Linked DNA regions of Diceros bicornis minor. The protein of the gene in region 3 purifies or fractionates together with the protein of the main gene of each other region. This does not show direct contact. Links are inferred from orthologs where the notes say so. Each region holds a gene or a part of one and is shown on either strand. Other genes may lie near its edges.

Region 1 (7,309 bases), on a different chromosome or scaffold from region 3:
TGAGTCCACACTAGCTACTCTCAAGAAGCAATTCTGTTGACTGAAATTTACCCTAAAACCAATTTTCTCAACTCCTCCTTCCTTGTCCCCAAATTGTTCAATCACATTTTAAGGTGAAGTATATTAAGCATTTTAAGGAAGTATATAAAGCAGGGTGTTTTATACGGCATTGTCTCCTTTAAGAAACCTAACATTTTAGTGAACTAGGAAACGTTTCACAACATACTTAAACTCTATGTATTTATAGATATTATTTTTCTCTGCTGCATAATATATACTGTGAGAAAGTGTGTTTTGACTCAAAGGATAAGCTGAAATGCTGTAATGTGATAATATATTCATTAGAGAATGAGCATGATTTAAAAGAAAAGCATATTATATATTTTACTAATTCCAATGTTATTGTTATTTAGGGTTAATTTAACATCTTTTTCTTTCTCCTTTTGATTTTGCATTTCTAACTGAGAGGGCATCTTTTATTTTTAAGCTGTGTTTGAGACTATAAAGAATATGCTAATACAACTTAATATAAATATAAATAATATATAAGCAACATATACGTATACATATAAACAGACCCAAGCATCAGACCACTGACGTTGTACTTTCAGGATTCACACGAATAAGTCTAGATGCATTCCTCAGGTCCTGGAGTTGCTTGGCGGGTTTCCCCACACCTTCTTCAAACCTTTTCTCCACCACAGGGAGGACTGTTTCATATAGGAAGGATGCATTCTGTCTGATAAAGGCCTTCTTCTCTGGATCCTGCTCACACCGAAGACTATAATCCACATGCTGAACAGCAACCAAAATGATTTCCACCAGGCTCTCCAAAAGTACCATGTGCAGCTCTGGGAAATACAGCTTCAGTGCTTCTTCCAAGAAGCCCATGGTCTGCTTGGTAAAGGCCACCACTGTGTAACTGAGGTTCACCCAGCAGTCATCCCCTGTGTACTGCTCGAAGTTACTCACCCCACAACTCTTCATCTCCTCTTTGAGTTTACCCAGGGCCTCTGGAGTCATCAAGTTCATCCTCCTCCACATCTCCTCCGAGTTGCGATGTTTAGTGGCTTCAATTATGATCTCTTTGTAACTGTGCAAGGCACCTTGGATGTCTTTCACCAGAAGGGCGTGGATGATGAAGGTAAGGTCTAGTCCGATGTCACCCAGTTGCTGACAATGCTCCTTTGCCACTTTTACACACTCGGCTGCTGTAGAGAGGCTCTCCTTACTGTCAAACACCTGCTTGCTAAAAGCATCCACAAACATGCCCATGGCTGATCTCGCCCAGACCACAAAGGCAGAGTAGCAGCCGCTGTCAGTGCCTGAAAAATCTGTCTCAAATTCCCTTGCAGTCTCAAGAAGGCTGGTAAAGAAGACATGGCATAGCTTATGAATGTACAGTAAAGTGGCACCTTCAATGCGAAGCTGACGGATGGCAGTGTGCACAGCTGCTGCCCTGTTTCTCAAGAAGAGCTCACAAGCCTTCGTGCACTGGCCAAGCCGGATTAGTTGAGAAACTGCCCTGCGAGTAGCCTTGGGACCACCTCTCAGGGAACGATCTGGGGAGAGTTCAAAAACCAACACCTCAGTGAGCTGTCGGACACGCTCATCCACTTTGGCCCTTAGTTCTTTTACAGGAGGTGGACTGGGCTTATCTTCCAGGTAATGGTTCAATTTATCCAGCAGGTCAACGGCCCCTTCAAAGTCCCTCTGGGCAATACAAACATCCAGGTCTTCAGGCAACTCCTGGATCCATTCCATTGAGAGGTCCACCTTCTCTTCCTCTACCTCAGGAATAGCTGGTTCGTCGTCGTCTTCATCCTCAAATGGGTTACTGGCCTTGGAAGTCACTTGGGGTGGCCCTCGAGGGGCCGCTGCCTCCTCCTGCTCCCTTCGTCTCTTTTCACCGAGGGCCCTCTTCGTTTCCTCCAGCACTTCCAGCCACTCCCGTTTAATTTTAGCATTTTCTGCCTGAAAAATACGGCTCTCGGGAAACATCAGCAGCTTGAACATGTCCTTCATGGGCGGGTTGTCCTTGACATTGACCACAGCCAAACCATCTAGAGGATAGAGAGCGTCGTAGCGATACATCCCCCGCCGCTGTGGCAGCCAGGTGGCCACCAGCAAACAGTCGTTCATGAGAAAGCCGTGCACCCGCTGCACTTGGGCCATGTGGTCCGCGTCGTATTCCACCAAGTCCCCGTTGTACACCAGGTACTGTCCCGGCGTCTCTAGCAGGTGCCTGCAGCCTTCCACCTTCTCCAGCAGAGTGGTGAGAGTGCGCTGCTTTCCTTCCTCGCCCGACCCGGAGCTGTCGCGGGAGGCGCCCCCGGGGGTGGGAAAGAAGCTAGCCTGGCCGCGGAAGTGGTCTCGGCCGGCCGGGCCGCCCCCTGCCTCCTCCCCTCCGGAGGCCGCGGCGGCCCCAGCGGCGGCGGCAGCTGGCAGCAGGGTGAGCGGGATGCTCTCCAGGCTGCTCTTCTGCTCCGTCAGCAGGTGGCTGAGCTGATACATCTCGCTCTCCAGGTAGGAGATCTCGCGGGCCGTCTCGATGAACTGCCGGTAGTTCTGGTAGACGTTGCGCTTCAGGTTCTGCGCCGTCTCCTCCGCCAGCGCCTGGATGCGCTGCCGGTGCTCCTGCAGGTCCCGGTCCCCGTCCGACTGCTGCGAGAGCTGCTTCACGTACAGCCGCGCCTCAAAGCCCCCCGACTCCAGCTGTCGCCGCAGGCGGCTCGCCCCACTGTCCGACATCGCCATCGCCATTTCCGTCCGGGCCCCACGCAGTCACTGTCACTATCGCTGCTGACGGTGCCGCCGCTGTCGAGACCCACCCAAACCCCGCCGAGCTCCAGGGCTGAGGAACAGATGGGAGACAGACAAGTACGCCTGCGCTCGAGTCTGAGCGTTAGACACTGCGCCTGCGCGAGGGGCCGGGCGCAGACAATGCGTCTGCGCAGGAACGCCATTGGCCTAGAGCGCGTGCGCCGGGGGAGTATTGCGGAAGTGAGTAGAGGGAAAGGCAAAGAGACGTAGGTAGTGCGCATGGGCCGAGCGTGGCGTTGGTGTTTGAAGTTACCGGCGAAGCGTAAAGGCGATAACCAGCTTAGTGAAACCTTCCTCTCGCCCAAGCCCTGGGAATCCCAGTTTCGAGCCCACTAGGAGGTGTCACGCTGACTTCTTTTTTTTAAGCCCCAGAATCCTGGTGTCGGCCTTGGGGGCAAGCTGAGTTCTCGTTCTCGCGCCAGTTTTCCTGAGTTCTCGCGACATCGGCGGGCTGACCCGAGAGCCGGTATCTCCCAGGAGCTCCACCCGGCCCTTGGGTTTCTGAGCCGGCGGACCTCGCTGGGATCCTGGCAGCGATGGATGAGGACCTGGTTTTGGCACTACGGCTTCAGGAGGAGTGGAACTTGGAGGTCTCGGAGTGCGATCAAGCCCAGGAGCCCTTGTCACTGGTGGACGCGTCCTGGGAGTTGGTGGACCCCACCCCGGATTTGCAGGCCCTGTTTGTGCAGTTCAACGACCGGTTCTTCTGGGGCCAACTGGAGGCCGTCGAGGTGAAGTGGAGCATGCGAATGACCCTGTGAGTCCCGAGCCCGTTGGGGAAAAGAGGCGGCTGGCTGCCCTTCCTCAGCCCCTGGCCCTGGGCTTCTCTTCTTCTCCGCCTCGACGGCCCAGGGGCCGTTAAACGAGGGCGTCTGGTTTTGGACCAGGCACCTCCTCTCCGTGTATTTCTCCCTTTCCTACCCTATCTCTCTTTCCCACCCAGACAACTTTAAGAAAGCTGTGTGGCCCACCTCGCTACGGTTTGACTTATAGGGGACACAATGAGAGAAGAGGATGTTTCTTTGAATCTCACCTCACTTGAAAATAAATTAACACATTTCTGATTTGATTTACTGTAGTGTTTTAGGAGCCAGGAAGGAGAAGCAACCAGAGTCTGGAATGCTGAGGACGCAGTGAAACCTCCAGAGGCGTGTTGTCCTCTTCTATGCTCATTAGGATCGCACCGCTTAGTAGTGAGCTCGTGTGTTAGAGTGGGCAAGGGCTTGACGTTTCCGTATTTCTGGACCTAAGGGGTCTTCGGGGATGCCTCTAAAAGGATTCCTTTCCTACACGCTAAATTTGAGAAATCTCGATTTGAAATAATCGAGTCCTGTACAGGAACGGAGTTAACAAGTTTAAGATGCGGTTGTATATTACCGTGCTTGTTTTTGAAGTGATACAAAACAACCTAAAATAAAACAGATTAAGATATCATATAAAATTGTGTTTAAAGTGCACGTTTTCTTCACATAGGCTTGTATTATAATTTTGAGATGTGCTAATGGAGATCTGGCTGTTACTGCCACAAACTGATTATAGTTTGTAGGGAGGAGACTGGGAGCAGCAGAATAGGATTATCTTCTTTGAGCTGTTGCAGCCTGGTTAGGGTAAGGGAAGCCACTACTGTTCACATATGTCCATAACTGGGGTGAAATGCAAATATCTCCCAGGGAAGAGGGTATACTTTTAAGAAAGCCATCTGCCGTAGAGTTCTCAGTGTGAACTGCCCAAGAATGTATATGGGTTTGCTCTTTCCTCTCTATTTCCCTTTTGTATGTATTTGGTAAATCATGCTTTTGTGGTGGTTGTTTTCCAGGTGTGCTGGGATATGCAGCTATGAAGGGAGGGGTGGAATGTGTTCCATCCGTCTCAGTGAACCCCTTTTAAAGTTGAGACCGAGGAAGGATCTTGTAGAGGTATTCTTTGCATAAACTTGATTCTTAATTCAGTAACTTAGAAATGCTTATTATTGATTTAGACTCCTGTGAATTAACCTGTACGTGTCAAAAAAGGAAACTAGTTTTCCCTCATTGCAAACTTTGTGGGGCAGATAATAATGATTACCTTCTATTTTTATAGTGCTTCAAAGTTAAAGGCTTTCATGTATATTATCTAAATTGATCTTTACAACAACCCTGTTTATGTTCATTGTGTGTTATCCTCATTTTTATAAAAGGAAATTAAGATTCAGAGAGATTAAGTAACTGGTTTAAGTTACATATTTAGAAGCAGAGAAAAACTTAGGATTCAGATCTTCCTATTAAGACACAAATTTTGACTCTCCTTTATTCAACCACCATGGTCCTGCCCTCCCAGGACATCTAGCCCAGCTGGCAGAACAAACCAGCGTGAGGGCACACTTCCTATCTGGAGCTAGTGGTCACTCCTGCTAGCAAAATGGAACAGTGGGAACTCTTAGATTATGGTTAGTTGAGTCTAACAGATGCCTGAAATTCTCCAGGATGCACCCAGTGTGACTTGTCTTGCCCCAGTTATATCACTTTGTATGCACAAAAGAGCATAGGGTGGTAGACATTGGATGGGAAATATGTTAAAACATGCTTGGAAATATGAGGGATGCTGTTTTTAAGGATAATAAAAGGTAATGAGTTTCACAGCAGTATGAATGTACTTAACATTATTGAACTGTACACTTAAAAATAGTTAAGATGTAAATTTTATGTAATGTGTTTTTTACCACAATTTTTAAGAAAGTAAATAGCTAATAAATGTAAAATAGTACAACAGAAATACTTGATTAATAAAAAAGGAAAGAGGAATAAAGGAACAAAGCCTGGATAAAGAGAAAGGTAGGCATAAGCACAATATCAATAATTATATTAAATGTAAATGGACTAAACACTCCAGTTAAAGACATGAAATGACACACTAGATTAAAAGAGACATACTTAAAATAGACACACATATGTTAAGTGTAAAAGGATGGAAAAAAGTAAATAGAAAGTTGTTGTGGCTATATTAGTATTAGACTAAAGATTTTAAAGGAAGAAGTTTTACTTGGAAAAAAGGGGAGATATTTTATAGTGATAAAATATTCTATTAAATAAAAACATAACAAGCCTAAAAGTAATTACATAGCTTTAAGCAAACGAAGCATAAATTAGCAGAAGCAAAAAGAGAAATAATCCACAGTCAGAGTTGCGGATGTTATAAGTCTCTTGGTAACTCAATGAATAAGCAGAAAAAAAATAGTAGACGTAAAACAAAAAAAATCGAACAACATGATTAACCAAATCAACCTGACAAGGAGCCCTAATTGGAATAATAGTGGCTTAATGAATATTTATTGCATAAATGATTAAATAAACATATGAACAAATTTTGTTTAAAAGATAATGGGTGAGAAGAGAATGGGAAATGTGTGGTAATGGTATCAGCTGAGCATTTGCTGTGGGTGGAAAGTTACAGTATCAAATCGGGTAAGAAGGACACAGGAGGAACAGTGGGACCCTGGTCTGTATTTAAAGTAGCTACCTAAATTATAATGAATAGGTTCAGAGAAGGAAAGAACTCTATCTGGTTGAGGAGGTCAAGAAAAGCTTCATACATGCAGAGTTTATTACTACTACTATCACCACTCCTACCACTCACTCACTATTGAGCACCTGTTGTGTGCCAGACTTTGGACTAGATTAACTAGTGTTAATATAGTTAATCTAGAGTATGCTTTACCACAACCCTGCAAGATTAGGATATCCCCATTTTAGGGATGAGGAACAAGTTGTAACTTGTGCAAGGTCTCAGGCACAATAAATAACAGATCCTTGGCTTAGACTCTAGTTTCCCTGGCTCTAAAGCTCTTGTCCTGTCCCCTGTACCACTTGGCCTCATCACTACTGCCTTGTAACTATCACCACTGCTAATTAAAACATGGAGGTGAGCCTTATAGGACAGATTGGATTCTGACGAGTAGAGATAGTAGGGGAGACTACTCTTGGCAGAAGGAATGGGAATGTTATGAAAAAAAATGAGGCCATTAAACTTGTGGCATATTGAGAATCAGAAGTAGTTGCTTTTGGCCAGATACAGAACAGTGGTGGGAAATAAAGGTGTTTTGGGACTGTGTTATGTAGAGCCTTGAATCTAGCCTAAATGTGGAAAATAGTAGATACAGTATATAAAAATAGAAATGATCAGTATGGTGCCATGTATCATTTTCAAGATGTGTTTAAATTGAACCAAAAATCAGAAACCTAAATTTGTTTCTCTTTTAGAAAAATAGTTATTTATAATTATTTTAGAATGTTGAGAAGTGTTTGAAGTATAGAATGGCCTTTGAATTTGAGCCTCAGTAGAGTGGCATTTACTTGAAAAAATAAAGTTCATTTTCAGAGATAGAGTTGATAATTTTAAAAGGGATGTTTTCATAATGACCAAGTTAAAATGTCTGATTCTCCCATTTTTCTGTTCAGCATAATTTTATAAGACTAAAATTCATTAATGCCAGGTCTAGTTCTTCTGATGG
Region 2 (7,754 bases), on a different chromosome or scaffold from region 3:
GCTGACTAGATCAATTTTATTGATGTATTTAAGAACCAACTCTCATTTCCTTGATTTTTCTCTGGTAATTTCCTGTCTCCAATTTCATTGATTTCTGCTCGAATTTTTATTGTTTCTTTTCTTCTGCTTATTTTGGATTTAATTTGCTTTTCCTTTTTCTAGTTTCCTAAGGTGAAAGCTTAGATTACTGATTTTATTTTATTTTATTTTTTATTTATTTATCTTTCCCCCCAAAGCCCCAGTAGATAGTTGTACATCATAGCTGCACATCCTTCCAGCTGCTGTATGTGGGATGCGGCCTCAGCATGGCCGAGATCTGAACCCGGGCTGCCAGCAGCGGAGCTCGCGCACTTAACCGCTAAGCCACGGGGCCGCCCCTTAGATTACTGATTTTAGATCTTTCTTTTCTAATGTATCCATTCAATGTTATTATTCCCTCTAAGCACTGTTTTCACTGTATCACACAAATTTTGATAAGTTGTAGTTTTTTCCTTTTCATTTAGTGCAAGATTAAACATGAAATGCCATATTTCATCTATCAAATTGGCAAAAATGTTAGAGTTTGATAATACTTAGTGTAGGTGAAGGTGTGGGGAAATACGCATATTTATACATTGGTATTGGAAGTATAGACTAGTTCAGCCATTTTAGATGGCGATTTGTACATATCTACAAAAATTTAAAGGGATATATGTTTTGATTTAGCAATTCCACTCTCAGAACGTATAGTGGAATTGCTTAATCAAAAAATGGTCATGTATTGGCCATGTATGTATAGGGAGCAGAGTCTGCAATAGTAAAAAACCTGGAAACAACCCAAATGCCCATCAATAGAGGACTGCTTCACTATGTTATATGTATTCAATGAAGTACTATGGAAAGAATGGAGTATGCCTCTACACACTAATATAGAAAGATGATCAAGATATACTGTTACGTGAACAAGCAGGCTACAGGAATAGTATGTTTAATGTGATAGCATTTGTGGTGTTTTTTTTTTAAGATTTGTTCTATGTATAATATGCTTGGACTTGTATGAATGCATCTGGAAAGTCACAACTGTGGTTACTTCTGGGACAGAGGTGCTTGGGGGTCAAGGAGAAGGAAGGCACCTTTTGTTTTTCACTTTACACTTTCTTTACAGTTTGAAGTTTTAACCTTGAATAGGTATTATATTTAATTTGAAAAATAGTAGTTTTTTTCTTTCTTTCTTTTTTTTTTTTTTGAGGAAGATCGGCCCTGAGCTAACATCTGCCAATCCTCCTCTTGTTTTTTGCTGAGGAAGACTGGCCCTGGGCTAACATCCATGCCCATCTTCCTCCACTTTATATGGGAAGCCACCACAGCATGGCTTGCCAGGCGGTGCGTCAGTGCGCGCCCGGGATCTGAACAGACAAACCTTAACTGCTTGCGCCACCGGGCCAGCCCAGAAAAATAGTTTTAAAACCAAATTGCACATTTGAGCCCACAAGTGGCTCAAAGCACACTAAACATGTCCTTTGCTCTGGCTTCCTTATGAGAAAGGTTGCCCACCCCTGGGCTCTGGACACCCTGGTCCTTTCTCTCATTTTATATTAAGAGGATTTAAGGGGGAAAAAAAAAAAACCCTCCTGACTACTATGCCAGATGGCACTGTTGCTGGCTGGTGGTTTTTTGTTTTTTTGTGTATGAGGAAGATCAGCCCTGAGCTAACATCCGTGCTAATCCTTCTCTTTTTTGCTGAGGAAGACCGGCTGTGAGCTAACATCTATTGCCAATCCTCCTCCTTTCTTTTCCCCCCAAAGCCCCCGTAGGTAGTTGTATGTATGTCATAGTTGCACATCCTTCTCGTTGCTGTATGTGGGACGTGGCCTCAGCATGGCCGGAGAAGCGGTGCGTCGGTGCGCGCCCGGGATCCGAACCCGGGCCGCCAGTAGCGGAGCGCGCACACTTAACCGCTAAGCCACGGGGCCGGCCCCTGGCTGATGGTTTCTAAATGAGGAAAATATACTATTTTTAATCATTACAGAAAAAAGGAAAATTACTTTTCCTAGAAGTGTTTTAATAAAAAGGTAATTTAAACTCACCATCTTTAGAAACTAGAAAAACAGAATCATCCATTTACTCTACTTACCATTTTAGTATTTTTCCTGAAGTCTTTTTTGCAATGTATCTATCATATTTCGAATGGCTGGAATCCCAGGGAACATACACTATTGTGATCTGTTTTTGTGATGTCATACCATACGCATTTTCAGCGTTGATGCAGGGCCAGGAAACGTTAATTTGGAGGAATTATACATCTGATTCCTCAGAAAGAGCACGAAGTCTGGAATTAGGAAGTTACTAAACTAAAGAGCATGCTGTTGGGGGAGGGGGCGCTTCCCCCCCCCCCCCCGTCCCTCCTTCTGGAAAGAGAATCTCTGCGAGTGGGCAGTGGGGGGCTTGGCTATGATTGGTACCTTTGTGTTCTGCACAAGTTTGCGAAGGAAAGCCACGATTTCTGAGGCTGCAATTGAAACACCACTTGCTCCTTTTGCTAAAGCAACTTGTGCTGAGTATAGCTGGGGAATTACAGCTTTTACTGAATTGATGTCTACTTGTCAACACATGTCCGATATTGGGTTGAGAATAATTTAAACTCATCTTTTCGTTTTGTCTACTTTTTACTAGATATGATTTCCATAAACATGACCTGCTTTTCACAATGGATTTTCTGGAAAATCAGATTGGCGGCTTTGCATAACAACGAACAAAACACCTGAGCTACCCAGCATAGGAGGCAGAGAACAGCCTCAGCTGTACCCTCTCCCTGGCCAGCTGTGTTGACTTAGTGCAGCTGACCTCTCTGAACATGAGCTTCCTCATCTGCAGAAGGGAGACGACAGCTGTGCCTGGACTCGTAGGTTTATTGTGAGGATTAGACAAGATAACACGAGGTTGGTGTTTGTAACAGAGATGGGCAAACAAAAAGCTCTCAGTACATGGTAGCTGGTGACCAAATTACACTTAGATGGTAAAGGAAATTTGAGGAAATACAAAATAAAGCACACACATATAAAGTTTATTTACAAAAATGCAATGATATTGTACAAAGTATGTGTTTGTTCACAATCATAGAGAATTCCCTACCTGAGACCTATAGAGCAAGATGTTATCCATATTTTTCTTGAGCATCTATTATGGGCTAGGTGCTGTTCAGAGAGGTTAAGTGCTGAATGAGGCTCTCCAGGCTGGTCCATCTGAGTCCAAAACCCTTTCCACCGTAGCCCTCTAGGCCACTCCTTCTGTACTGTGGCATCTAACAGTTCAAACTTTTCCCTTCACTTAGGATTCCACAAGGACCACCTCAGCGAAATCGTCCTAGATATCCTTACACAATGATTCTGTTTTTTTATCTCCTCCATATGCAGCAGAGCTCTGACTCCTGGATATTTCCTTCATCACCACGTTCACAGCCACTGAAATCAGATCACTAGATCTGAAATTGTCCTCCTGCCCCAGCAGAAAGCTGCCCAATCCCCTCTCCAGGCTCTCTGTCCCATTTCTTCCTTCTCTTTGAGGAGCTGGGTCCTGGGGGGGCCTTGGTGCCCCCAAACCTTTTCACCCACCAGCACAGGCCTCATTGTCTACCTTCCTGTTCCTGGATGTGGGATCCACAGAGGGACTGAAGAAAGCAGCGCAGCCATTTACTTCTCCAAGGACTGGGGCTGGGGCCAGAGGCAGGGTGGGCAGGGAGGGGATGGAGGAAAGACTAACACTAGGTTTTGCAGGAGCTGGGTCCTGTAGTGAATCCAGAACATCCAGCTCTGCAGGAGCCTGATCCAGGGGCATCTCCCATCCCCTCCCCTGGAGCTGTGGTTAGAGGAGACTCGGGGCAGAGGAGTTAGGATGTTTGAGAGCTCTGGAGAAGGGACCCTGCCAACCCTCCTAGCCTCTCTGATTTCCCCAAAGCCCTTGCAAGAAATCCTCCCTCTGTGTCTGAATAAGTGCAGGCAGGCCTCAATCTCTCCTTAACTAGGGGACAACACCAGCTGGGCCCCAATCCTTCCGACAGGTCGAGGATCTTCCGGCCTTCCCCTTGCACCGTTTCCAGATCTAGGTAAGTTCCCAGCAGAAGCCACCTGGTTCTCACCCCAACAAATAAAACCATACAGGGATGGATGCTCCCAGAACTCCGCCAGCCCCAGGAGCTTGGCTGGGCCCCACACAAGTCAGGATTATGGTTATGGAGGCCACCGGGGCCACAGGAGACCGCTCTGTCCCTTGCCTCCAGCCCAGGGCTTGCACACAGGGCCCGCTCCATAAGCTCTCGCGTAACGTAGGGCCGGAAGGGGAAAAGCCTACACAAGCCCCTGGCTCATTAAATGGTCACACATTAGGCGCCTACTGTATGACACGCTCTGTGAGGACCGCGACCTCTGTGCTTAGACCCAGAATGACATCTGGAGAAACGAATTCATCAGCGACCTTTATCAAAAGAGTCAGCCTTCCAACGAAGACAGCAAGTGAGCTGTAACAGTCCTGCCAGCTGCGGAATATAACACAGCTCCAGTCTTCTCTCATGACGCAAGGAACCCGCACGGAGCTGAAACCTGGTCTCACTTCCCAGCCACACCCAAGATGGCCACCTGCCCAGGCCCGTTACTGAGGTCCGCTCAGGCGCGCTTCCTCCTGCCACTCCCAACATGGCACCACGGGCGCGCCCGGGGCGGGGCCAAGGGCGGAAGTGGGTGTGACAGGGACGGGAGCCCAGAGGGCACACTAAGACAAGGTACTGGGGAGTGGGAGCCGCAGGGTCGAAGCGATGATCCCCCCGCAGGAGGCGTCCGCCCGTCGCCGAGAAATAGAGGACAAACTGAAGCAGGTGGGACTGGGGCTGGGGAGGCGGAAGAAGAGGAGAGGGAAGAGCCGAGATCTGGGCCTCGGGCATCTACTCAGGGAGGAGGCGGTGGTGGGAGGGGGCGCTCCCTGCGAGGAGATGGGGTTGGGGGCGAGGCTGTGGGGCCCGGACGCGGTGATCTCCTTTAGCCTCAGGCTTCTGGTGATGTCCTCCCGTCCGCTTCCCCCAGGAGGAGGAGACACTGTCCTTCATCCGAGACAGCCTGGAGAAGAGTGACCAGCTCACAAAGAACATGGTGAGTAACCCCTCAGGTGGGAGGGGCAGACAGGCCTCCATACCCTGGAAGAGAGCCCTGCGATCCGGTGGTTCTGATACATCAGGCCTGGGGGTTCTGGCCTGGGGAGTGGTGGTGGTAAAGTGTGGGTTTCTCTAGCAACAGTGTGGCATCTCTCTTACCCAGCTCCCTTCCCCTTTGTCCGCCCCTTCACTGAGGATGCTGCAGCCCCTGCTGGCCTGGACTTTCTGCTTTCTAAGTTCTCCATTCTTCCTTCTCTCCTTCCGCAGATATTCAGGGAGACTGACTTAGGTGGGCTGGCTACTGGTCATGTGTCATCAATTCAAATGACGGTAGGACAGCAGGGTTAGCACTTCTGAGATTACTAAGGGCAGAGAAGACTAAGCCTTCACCCCAGAGGGCTTTAAGGGTAGAACGAGACAGACCTGGGATCTGGTCCTCGCCTCTCCACTTACTGTGGCTCCTGGCAGATGACTCGGAGCCTCAGTTAACTCATCTGCTAAAATAGAGACAATGTAGCTATGAAGGTCATAGAAACGAATGCATGGGAATGCATCTTACATGGTACCTGGTATACAGTAGGTACGCAATAAATATGAGTTTCCTTCCTTATTCCTAGAGGAGACTGGAAAAGCACAAATTGAGTAGATACAAACTTGGATATGTATTTAGTAACACAACCGTAAAGTCCTGTGTAACCACGGGCCTACTAGGACCAGTTCAGCTGACCCCATCTCATCAACAGAGTAATTAAGAGTTGTCTTTCAGGAACTGAGAGTTCCCCCTTGTCCAGTTCAGGCTGGTTAAGACCACCAGCCCATCAACTGGGCCTGCGCAAATGCCCAATAAGTGACCCTGTTGATGTCAAAGGGCTGAAAACTCACCCTCAGATCATACTATCACCACCATTTTGTGAACATGCATCCTATGAAGAGCCGTGAAGCTTGACTACGCTTGCACAGATCATCAGTTACCTCACTTCTCTTTACCTCCAATCATCTATCTCCACACTTCAGACCACATGCTCTTCATCTCATAAATTTTGCCCCAAGTCCTGGATGGAGGAGAAAGATCTGAGAACGTACGCCTCTTGTCTCCTTGCAGATCGATCCATCAATAAAGCTTTTTTCTTTTCCCAAAAGCTGATGCCATAATAGTTGGCTTTTTTTATGTGCATCGGGTAGGAGGACCCCAGTTTTGTGCAGTAACATAAGTCCTTGTTTAATGAAATTCACCCTTAGAGAGAGTTTTGAAAGTACCAGAAATGCATTCGAGGCTACTCAGTATGAAACAACTTCCTGTTCAGTCTAGGAAAGCTTCAGAGAGAACAGAAATTGAGATTTGGCTTCACAGCGTGGAAGGGAAGTCATCCTGTGGTGATTATCTTAGGAGGAGTTAATTTAATGCTTAGCTTGCCTTCAAATCAAATTTCAACCAATTTACTTGGACTACCTCCTATGTGCCAGGCACATGGTAGGTGCTGGGGACTCAATGGTGAACAGGTACACCCTGTCCCTTTTGTCATGGAACTTATTGTCTAGAAAACCAGAGAAAAAGCAGAAGCAGTGCTGGGCCACCCTGAGGCCTGAGAGCACGGTGCATCCCCCTACAGGTATCTATCCTGTCGTCCTTTGAGAGCCGCCTTATGAAGCTGGAGAACTCCATCATCCCTGTGCACAAGCAGACAGAAAACCTGCAGCGACTGCAGGAGAATGTTGAGAAGACTCTGTCCTGCTTGGACCATGTCATCAGTTACTACCATGTGGCCAGTGACACTGAGAAGATCATCAGGGAGGGGTGAGCCAGGGCCAGAGGGTCACATTCCTAATGCCTCCTGGACCAGCGACCCTAGGCCTTAGAAGGGAGAGGTAGAATATATTTGAGCCTGGAGTCCCCTGTGTTAATTCTCTTCTTCCCCTTCTAAATACCATTCCCGTGGTCTTTCCTCTTCATCTTCCATCCACCCAGGCTGATACAGCTCTTTTCCTTCCCAGCCCCACAGGCAGGCTGGAAGAGTACCTGGGAAGTATGGCCAAGATTCAGAAGGCTGTGGAGTATTTCCAGGACAACAGCCCAGACAGCCCAGAGCTCAACAAAGTGGTAAGGGGCCAGCACAGTGGTGTGACAGGTTTAGGAACACCAGTCCCTGCCCTGGTCTCATGAGGGAAACTGAACCAGCTTAAAGGAGAATATCGTAGAATAAACAGAACTATATGGAGTCAGCCCTGATGGCCTAGTGGTTAAAGTTCGGCGTGCTCCGCTTTGGTGGCCCAGATTTGGTTCCCAGGTGCGGAACCACGCTGCTCCTCTGTCAGTAGCCATGCTGTGGCGGCAGCTCACACAGAAGAACTAGAGGGACTTACAACTAGAGTATACAACTATGCACTGGGGCTTTGGGGAGGAGAAAAAAAAGAGAGAGGAAGATTGGCGACAGATGTTAGCTCAGGGTGAATCTTTCCAAAAAAAAAAAAAACAGAACTATATAATACAATACACATACTGTAGGTGTTAAGACCTCTGCCCAAGGAATTACAGATATACATTTTTATTACATTTTTATAATTTAAATTATAAATTACATATAAGATATAAATTTAACATTTGATTTTTATAAATGTATTTGTGTTTTGTTTTTGG
Region 3 (7,017 bases):
TATACCATGCAGTATGAAACACTCTAGGTGCTCATTTAATGTAAAAAATATATATACAAAGAACAGGGAACTGTGTCTGTCATAGTGTTTCCTAAGACTGAAACCAAAGGAATTTCATGCTTCATAGTTATTTTTTCTAAGTCAAAATAAATTTGATGCAGAATTGAAAACACAAAGCTGTATAACAATATTTAATTGACTCACCAGCTACTACTGTAATTTTAGGCTTAATGATTTTATTTGCTGCCAGCTTCTGTATATACTGCACTAACATTTGCTAACTGGCTTCAGAATACGGACCAGAAATTTAAGAAAAAAGAAAGAAAACACCATCAGTAATTTTTATATTAGTGAAAGGTTTTCTTTCCTCTTTTGAGTATTTTTGTTTCAGGGATACAATATTATTTGTCATTATTTTGATCCAGGAAAGATCTGTGTGTTCTCAAGAGCCATTCATACCAGCTTAATGGCAGGATCACCTAACTTGAGAAATGGTGTGTCACGCAGACCCAAAAGCGAGACAAGAAAAGGGTTTGGTTTCACAGTGAAGTGGGGTACCACTGCCAGGATACAGAAAACAATTTCCTTTCAACCTCTGCTGCCAGGTCTCTGACTCACGTTTCCTGTGTGTTTTAGAATGGATGACCCTAGGACAGTTGAGTTATTGCATGCTGGAGCGACTTTGACATGTCTTCTGATGTAAAGGAGAGAAAAATGAAGTCATGCTAAGTCCCACAACTCAAAGCATCTGTACAAAATATCATCTTCTTTTTCTCAGGATGTATTTCTCTAACAGGTGTGCAATTCAGCACATAAAGATATTTGAGTTGTAATAAGTATAGGCTGTTTTTGGTCTATAATAATGACTATTTAGGCTGGATTCCCCCAGAAGCTGACCCTGAGATATGGTTTCAAGGGCTAGTATCTAACTTGGGAGGTGATACCAGGAAACACCAGGAAGGGAGTGGGTATGCCAGGTGGGAAAGGGAAGGAAGCCAATAAAAGATGTGCTGTGAAGGCATTCCCGAGGGAGCTCTGAAAATACCCTGGATAACATGCCTCCGAACTACCCTGGGAACGGCAGCCCAATAGTTATACAACTATCTTTGGTTGAAGCCTACTTTTGGGCCGATGAACTTGCCAGTACTTCCAGCTTCCCCTGCATTGAGAAAGAAAGCCCTGAGGCACCGAGGGGCAGGTGTTCCCAGAAAGAAGCCTTCTGAGAGCAGAGGGCACAGCAGAGGAATATGGGTAGGCTCTGATGGCCTCTGCCACTGTCCATCCCTCGCATGCTGTGTTGTGTTCACGCTGTCCTGTCACTGACTCCTCACACTGATGTCCCATCACACTCACATCTGGAGCACTGATAGGTCGAGCTATGGGCTCCTGCTGCCGTTGGTCCTGAGGCCATTGTGATTCTCATAATCTTCTTCCTTTATCACCTATTCTAGATTCCCCTCACCCTTAACTAGCACTTCCGCTGGCCCAGGTTGCTTGCTTGAAGTGACCCAGACCTTCGTCCCTGTAGGATCTGAGCCTCTGGTTGCCATGCCCTTGTCAGGCCAGGGTTGCTGCATTGCGCATTTGCTGATATCACCAGGCATAGAAAAGATGCCCAGTGAGTGCCTTGAGGTCCAGAAATAATCCTCCCTGCTCCTATATCCTCCTGATCGTAAAGGTCAATTTTTTTGTTTCCTGTATGAGGATCCCAAACGAGGAGAGGGCTTTAGATATAGTGGAATCTTGTGTCCCCTGGCAAAGCATCCTCTCCTGCCATAGGAGCCAGGACTCTATTTGGACGCAGCACTGTACGCTGGTATTAGGTTCAAAATATATACTACATCCCATAGCACAGCAGCTCAATGCTGCAAAATGTTACCCCTAAGCTGGAGCCTTAGCTGTGCCTTTAAGAGGCCATTCTAATATTCTATCAGGGTGTCAGCTTCTGGGTGTGTGATGTATGTAGAACCATTGGCTCTTGTGGTATTGTCCCCTTTGTCATACCTCTTTCACTCTTAAAGGGGTCCCTGGTCCCAGGTGATACTATGGGAAATTCCATGATGATAAATCCGACCCTGTGTGAGCAATTGGATAGTGATGCTTGCCAGGGCCCTGCAGGCAGGGAAGACAAACCCAAACCCAAGATATGTAACTGGGTCTGAGGAAATCACCTTGCCACCAAGGAGCTGCCTGGTCTCCTCGAGGGAAGGTATCATACCTCTAGCTGCACATTGGCCTCTGCAGCTGGAGGGGGAACACACTGTCTAGATCTACCTTGTTAAGAGGGGTCCGTGCAGCTCCATCCCTGCCACCATGGCTACTCCATTCATAGGCCCATTGTACAAACCCTGGGCTGGCCCAGGACAGAGGCTGGTCAAATCATTCTGGTGCCCCTCTGCTGTGGATGCTGTCTGGTAGGCATTCATGTGAGACACACAGATTGGCCAAACACAAAGTTTGTGTAAGGTGTAAGTGTGAATTCCTGGGCTAAGAGATGGCAAGACCCCCCACCATGGTTGTGCCTCTGCTCCACAGCTACCCTCCTCTCCATTCAGCTGTAGCAGGTTACTCCAACAGGTCTCCTACCTTTGGGAATTTCTAGAAGGGAAGCAGGTAGCACACTCTTGATCACATACAGTCCCAGTGGTAGGCCAATTCTCCCAAGAACGGGACCCCCCATGCTCACCTCCACTCTGATGGCAGCAAGCACAGGCTCCTGCGTGTCTCAGGTCAGCAAGCACTAACCTGGCTTAGAGCCAACTGGGTGAGTCTCTTCTAAGCTTCGAAGAGGTGTCCGACCCCGGTTGTTTGGGGCTCTCTTTAAAATGTGGAGTGACTTTAGGGTTACTATATACTGTTGAAACAAGGACACTTGACCATGAAAGGGACACTCAATAATTAAGCCAGGATAACAGACAAAAACCAGGGTTATCTCACGCAGAGTGGGACATGTGGTCACCCTAGTTATCTGCCCCCTTTTCCAGTCTAAGTGGCCAATTCCAGGACAGCCAGAAAAATCCCTCTAAATATCCTGTCACTCAGCTTAAACTCCATGGTTCTCCATAATGTCATTTCTTTGCATAGACCCTCAAGTCCTTTGCTCCCTGCTCCTGCCTATCTCCAACCTAGGTTACAACTAATTTTCTGCTAACTCTCTATCTGCACTAGAGCAGCCAAAACATACACATGCTGACTGGTCCCATTTTAAACTTAGGACTACACATCCCAAGGGGACTTTCAGCTTTGCCTGGAAATCCTACCACATTTTCTTAGTAATTTTCTTCACAATATTCAGGATAAAGATTTCACCCTTTCTCCTTCCTCCTCACACCTCCCTTGCCCTGCATCCTCTGTTTTCATGGATGATCTTGCTGCTGCTTTCGCTAATAAAAGAGAAGTAACCAGAAGAGTATTTTCTCATCACTTTCCCCTGTCCCCACCTTTGTCCCCTTAGTGCAGACCACCATCATTTCTTGACAAGACTGCTGCAGTCGCTCCCTCAGTGCCATCTCTTTTCCTCTTGCCATGCCACGGTTTATCCTCAGCCCAGGGAGATCCTGACAGGAAGTGACTGCCTTTATTCGCCTGTGCGTCTCTAGCGCCCTGCACGGCGCCCAGCCGGTGGAGGTGCTCACTAAGTTTGCCGAACTGAAACGATCACACTCAGGGTTTCCAGGCTGTAGACTGGCATTCTCCTCCGCAACGTCCATGGTCCTGTGGCTTTGTGTGTCACCTAGCCTCCCAGGGCCTCGTTGGAGCCAGTGTCCTGACCCGCTGCAGCGTCCTGGCTCAGGGCAGGGCCCACCACAAAAGCAACGAGTGCCATCCTCCGGCGTCTCTGGCGGGACCCGACGTCGCGGGGCCGGAGGGTGCACACGGCACGCCCCCACCCCAGTGCGGAGCCCGCCCCGCCCCTCCGCGGAGGCTCGGCCATCGAGGACTCGGCGCTCGACTGCGCGGCGGATCGACGCCCTCGGCGCTCGCGGGGCGGAAGTGCGGCGCGGCGGTGGGGCGGCCGGCCGGGAGCGCTGGCGAGAGGGAGGCCTGGCGGCGCGGCCGGAGCGCGGCCAGCGGGCGGCAGGTACGTGTCGGAGCCCCGCGTACCGGCGCAGGGCCAGTCCGGGAGCGCGGGCCGGCAGGGCGGCGGGCGGCCTGCCGCGCGGGCGGTCGGAGGAGGCCCCGGCCCCGGCCCCGGCCTCTGCCGCTACCGGGCCGCCTGTGGGGAAGGGGCGGTCGCCACCCGCGCCGGCGGCACCCCCGGGTCTCCGCGTCCTGGCCGGGCGTTGCCCCGACGCTGACCCTCGGGGGTGGGCGTGCTGGCCTCCCCGGCCCCTCGCGCCCTGTGCGGCGGTCCCGTGTAAGGCTGAGGGTGGGGTCGTGAACAGCGGCGTGAGGCGGTTTCGCCTCGGTTGGGAGCTGTACCTGTCAGGTTCCTGACAGGAGCTGGTGCCTGTCACCGTTCTCAGCGTCTGCGTCCCCTGATTGACGTAATGCCCGAGAGAGTGGATGCTGACGTAGTGTCCCGTTTTACTGTTGGGGACACGGGAGCTCAGAGTGGTCAAGTGCTAGCCTGAGGTTGTATACTCCTCGGTGTTTGAGCTGCCCCTGGGACCATGCAGCGAGGCTCCAGAGCCTGCACACCCAGCCACTGTGTTCTCTCTCCTCTACGCCCGCTGGTGCTGAACTTGATACCCCAAGATTTTGCAAATAGACACTTTGTTAATTCCAAGAAACAGTTTTTGAAAGAGCTTGTCTTTAAATGGGAATAATCTACTTCTAATCGCTAAAGGTCAATCATACTAATAACTATGAGAAAATTTGTTTCTTTTTTTATGAATCTGAATAAACTTACAAGGAAACCGTTGAAAAATATTTTAAGAATCAGCCACACCTTAATTAAATCGTTTGGGGACACTGTATTGAAAAGCTAGTTCTAACTGAGGTTATGTGCATCCGTCTCCTAATGCATAATAATATTTTGTTTATAAATGTTAGTACATATATTCTGGCCAGACTTTGTGTAACTGACTCTAATGTCAAAGGAACTGAAAGCCAAAAGCTTCCCAGGGATCATCTGTGTGTTGAAAGTTGTTGACTCAAAGGGTGGTAATAGAAAGAGGATAATGTGTGCTTAGTACTCAAATGTTCTCTTCTGTTGGATTAAGTAGAAACTTAATAATTTTAAGCAGAGAAGCAGAGGATCCCCCAGAGTAAGTTGGAACAACTCTTGGAAGTTTCAGAAAGTATATATTTTTTCTTGTCAAGTGTTTAATATCCTGTACTGACTATCATTTTGAACTATATTACCTTTCTAAAAGATGGTTATTAACCTGCTGAGTTAAATTTTCATTCATTCCACAAATATTTGAGAGCCTGCTGTGTATGAATCTATGAGAAATGAAATTGGTACCCAAAAATTTTTGGCAAGACAGTCTTCTAATAAAGGACTTTGACAATTTTTGGTGTCAGGCACGGGCAGGATCAGGCCATATGGGAAATGTGGGTATGCAGTTCATCTCTCAATTTCTTTTTCACTCCTTCTCCAGTTTAGTCATCTTTGTCAGCCAGGAACCTAGTATAGCACCCGACACATAGTAGGAGCTTATTGAATGGATGAGTTTTAGGTCAGTAATGAGTAGAGAGAATTTTGAAATTGACTGGAGGAGAAATAACATTGATCACTCTGCAAAGCAGTAGTCTACAATGTTGATTGTTCTCAGACCCTGGGGAATATGTTCATGGCTCCCCTGGAGTGCCTGGTAAAATAGCATGGTAGTAGTGTTCCATTATAATCACATGATTCAGTGTGTTTATGTTAATTTAAAAGAATTATTATTGATACAAACACAAAGTAATTGTAGAGAAATTATGACTCTTGAAGCTGTGGACACACCCATAGGCATCCTTGGACTTCAGTTTGAAATTATGGATTCAAAAGGTATTTTGGTTTAGGAGTCAAAGCAAACATTTAGTGGTCCATGTGCTGCCACCCACCTGCTTCGTAGTGTGGGCTGTTACTTAGCTTCTTTGGGGTTCAGTTTCCTTTTTCCTGTAGTCAGAGAATACATAAAACTAGATTATCTCAAACAGTTCTTCTGGCTTTGAAATTTTCCAACTCAGTGAATCCTGTAACCACTTAGCACAGGGATAACCCTGTGTTGTCTTCAGGGCTATAGCTATTGCTGGTATTTACATATCTGTCAAAAGACTAAGCTCTTGCCAGACAGGGCTTAGTCTCAGTCATTTTTGTGTCTGCCAATTTTAGCATATGCCTGACACACACATTAGAAATAAAATAGTATTAGCCTGGATTCAGAAGGGGTGTTTTTGCCCTCTAGATTAAAGATTAAAGAATTGCTGAGAACTAAACTGTAGTATTGAGTGTAAGTACAGCAGGAGTTCAGAGAAGGGAAGGATCTGTTGGGGTTCGAGTTGTTGGGAAGGCTTCATGGAGGTCAGACCTTGATGGAGAGGATGTGGTCCTTTGGAGGGAGGGCATGTTAACATCTGGCGGCATACCAGGAACAAAGGCCACATTTTGGATTATGAAATGCCTTGAAGGTCAGGCACAGGAGTTTGGACTGATTTACTAGGCTTTTTTTTTTTTTTTCTGGAAAATTGTATTAGGCTTGCTCAAAAGCTTCATGAGTATTCTTTAACTTAATGTTGTTGGTAGCATTTAAGACTGGGGTGGATCATACAGTTGGCTTTATTTTTGGTTTTGGCTTTAGTAATTCCTTGTACTTACTATTTCCCACTTAAAATAAATCTTGGTGCCAATAATGGAAAGAACAGTGGACACTGAAATTTGGGAAGCCTGGATTTTAGTTAATTAGAATGTAGTTGCACCAGGTGGATCCAGGCAGGCCTTCACGTGGCGCCTGGCACAGTTAGCCTTCGGTGCTCCTTGGGCAGCGCCGAAGGACTGCTCTCCTTGCTTCCTGCTAGCTGTGCTGCTTTTGGCAAGGTTGGCACCTAGTTTCATCTGTAAGCTTTGATGAATTTTTAAAGTCCTTT

The links. Proteins that work in one complex are often made in the same cells at the same time.
Region 1: the proteins of EXOC2 (region 3) and EXOC8 purify together in Homo sapiens (affinity purification with mass spectrometry; 7 studies listed by BioGRID and IntAct, counting the BioPlex papers as one, with this or other methods). This does not show direct contact. The link is inferred for Diceros bicornis minor from reciprocal best matches to the Homo sapiens genes EXOC2 and EXOC8.
Region 2: the proteins of EXOC2 (region 3) and EXOC7 fractionate together in Homo sapiens (co-fractionation; 4 studies listed by BioGRID, with this or other methods). This does not show direct contact. The link is inferred for Diceros bicornis minor from reciprocal best matches to the Homo sapiens genes EXOC2 and EXOC7.

Annotation. Positions count from the first base shown.
Region 1 is NC_080745.1:24,862,814-24,870,122, reverse strand, and holds the start of EXOC8 (exocyst complex component 8), read right to left. Parts: upstream 3,022-7,309; 5' UTR 2,764-3,021; coding exon 586-2,763; 3' UTR 1-585. Other genes in the region: DNA-dependent metalloprotease SPRTN, read left to right, coding at 3,360-3,580, 4,640-4,739. UniProt on the Homo sapiens protein: Component of the exocyst complex involved in the docking of exocytic vesicles with fusion sites on the plasma membrane.
Region 2 is NC_080757.1:56,465,820-56,473,573, reverse strand, and holds the start of EXOC7 (exocyst complex component 7), read left to right. Parts: upstream 1-4,733; 5' UTR 4,734-4,786; coding exon 4,787-4,846; intron 4,847-5,051; coding exon 5,052-5,117; intron 5,118-6,729; coding exon 6,730-6,914; intron 6,915-7,111; coding exon 7,112-7,217; intron 7,218-7,754. UniProt on the Homo sapiens protein: Component of the exocyst complex involved in the docking of exocytic vesicles with fusion sites on the plasma membrane.
Region 3 is NC_080753.1:65,647,670-65,654,686, forward strand, and holds the start of EXOC2 (exocyst complex component 2), read left to right. Parts: upstream 1-4,003; 5' UTR 4,004-4,081; intron 4,082-7,017. UniProt on the Homo sapiens protein: Component of the exocyst complex involved in the docking of exocytic vesicles with fusion sites on the plasma membrane.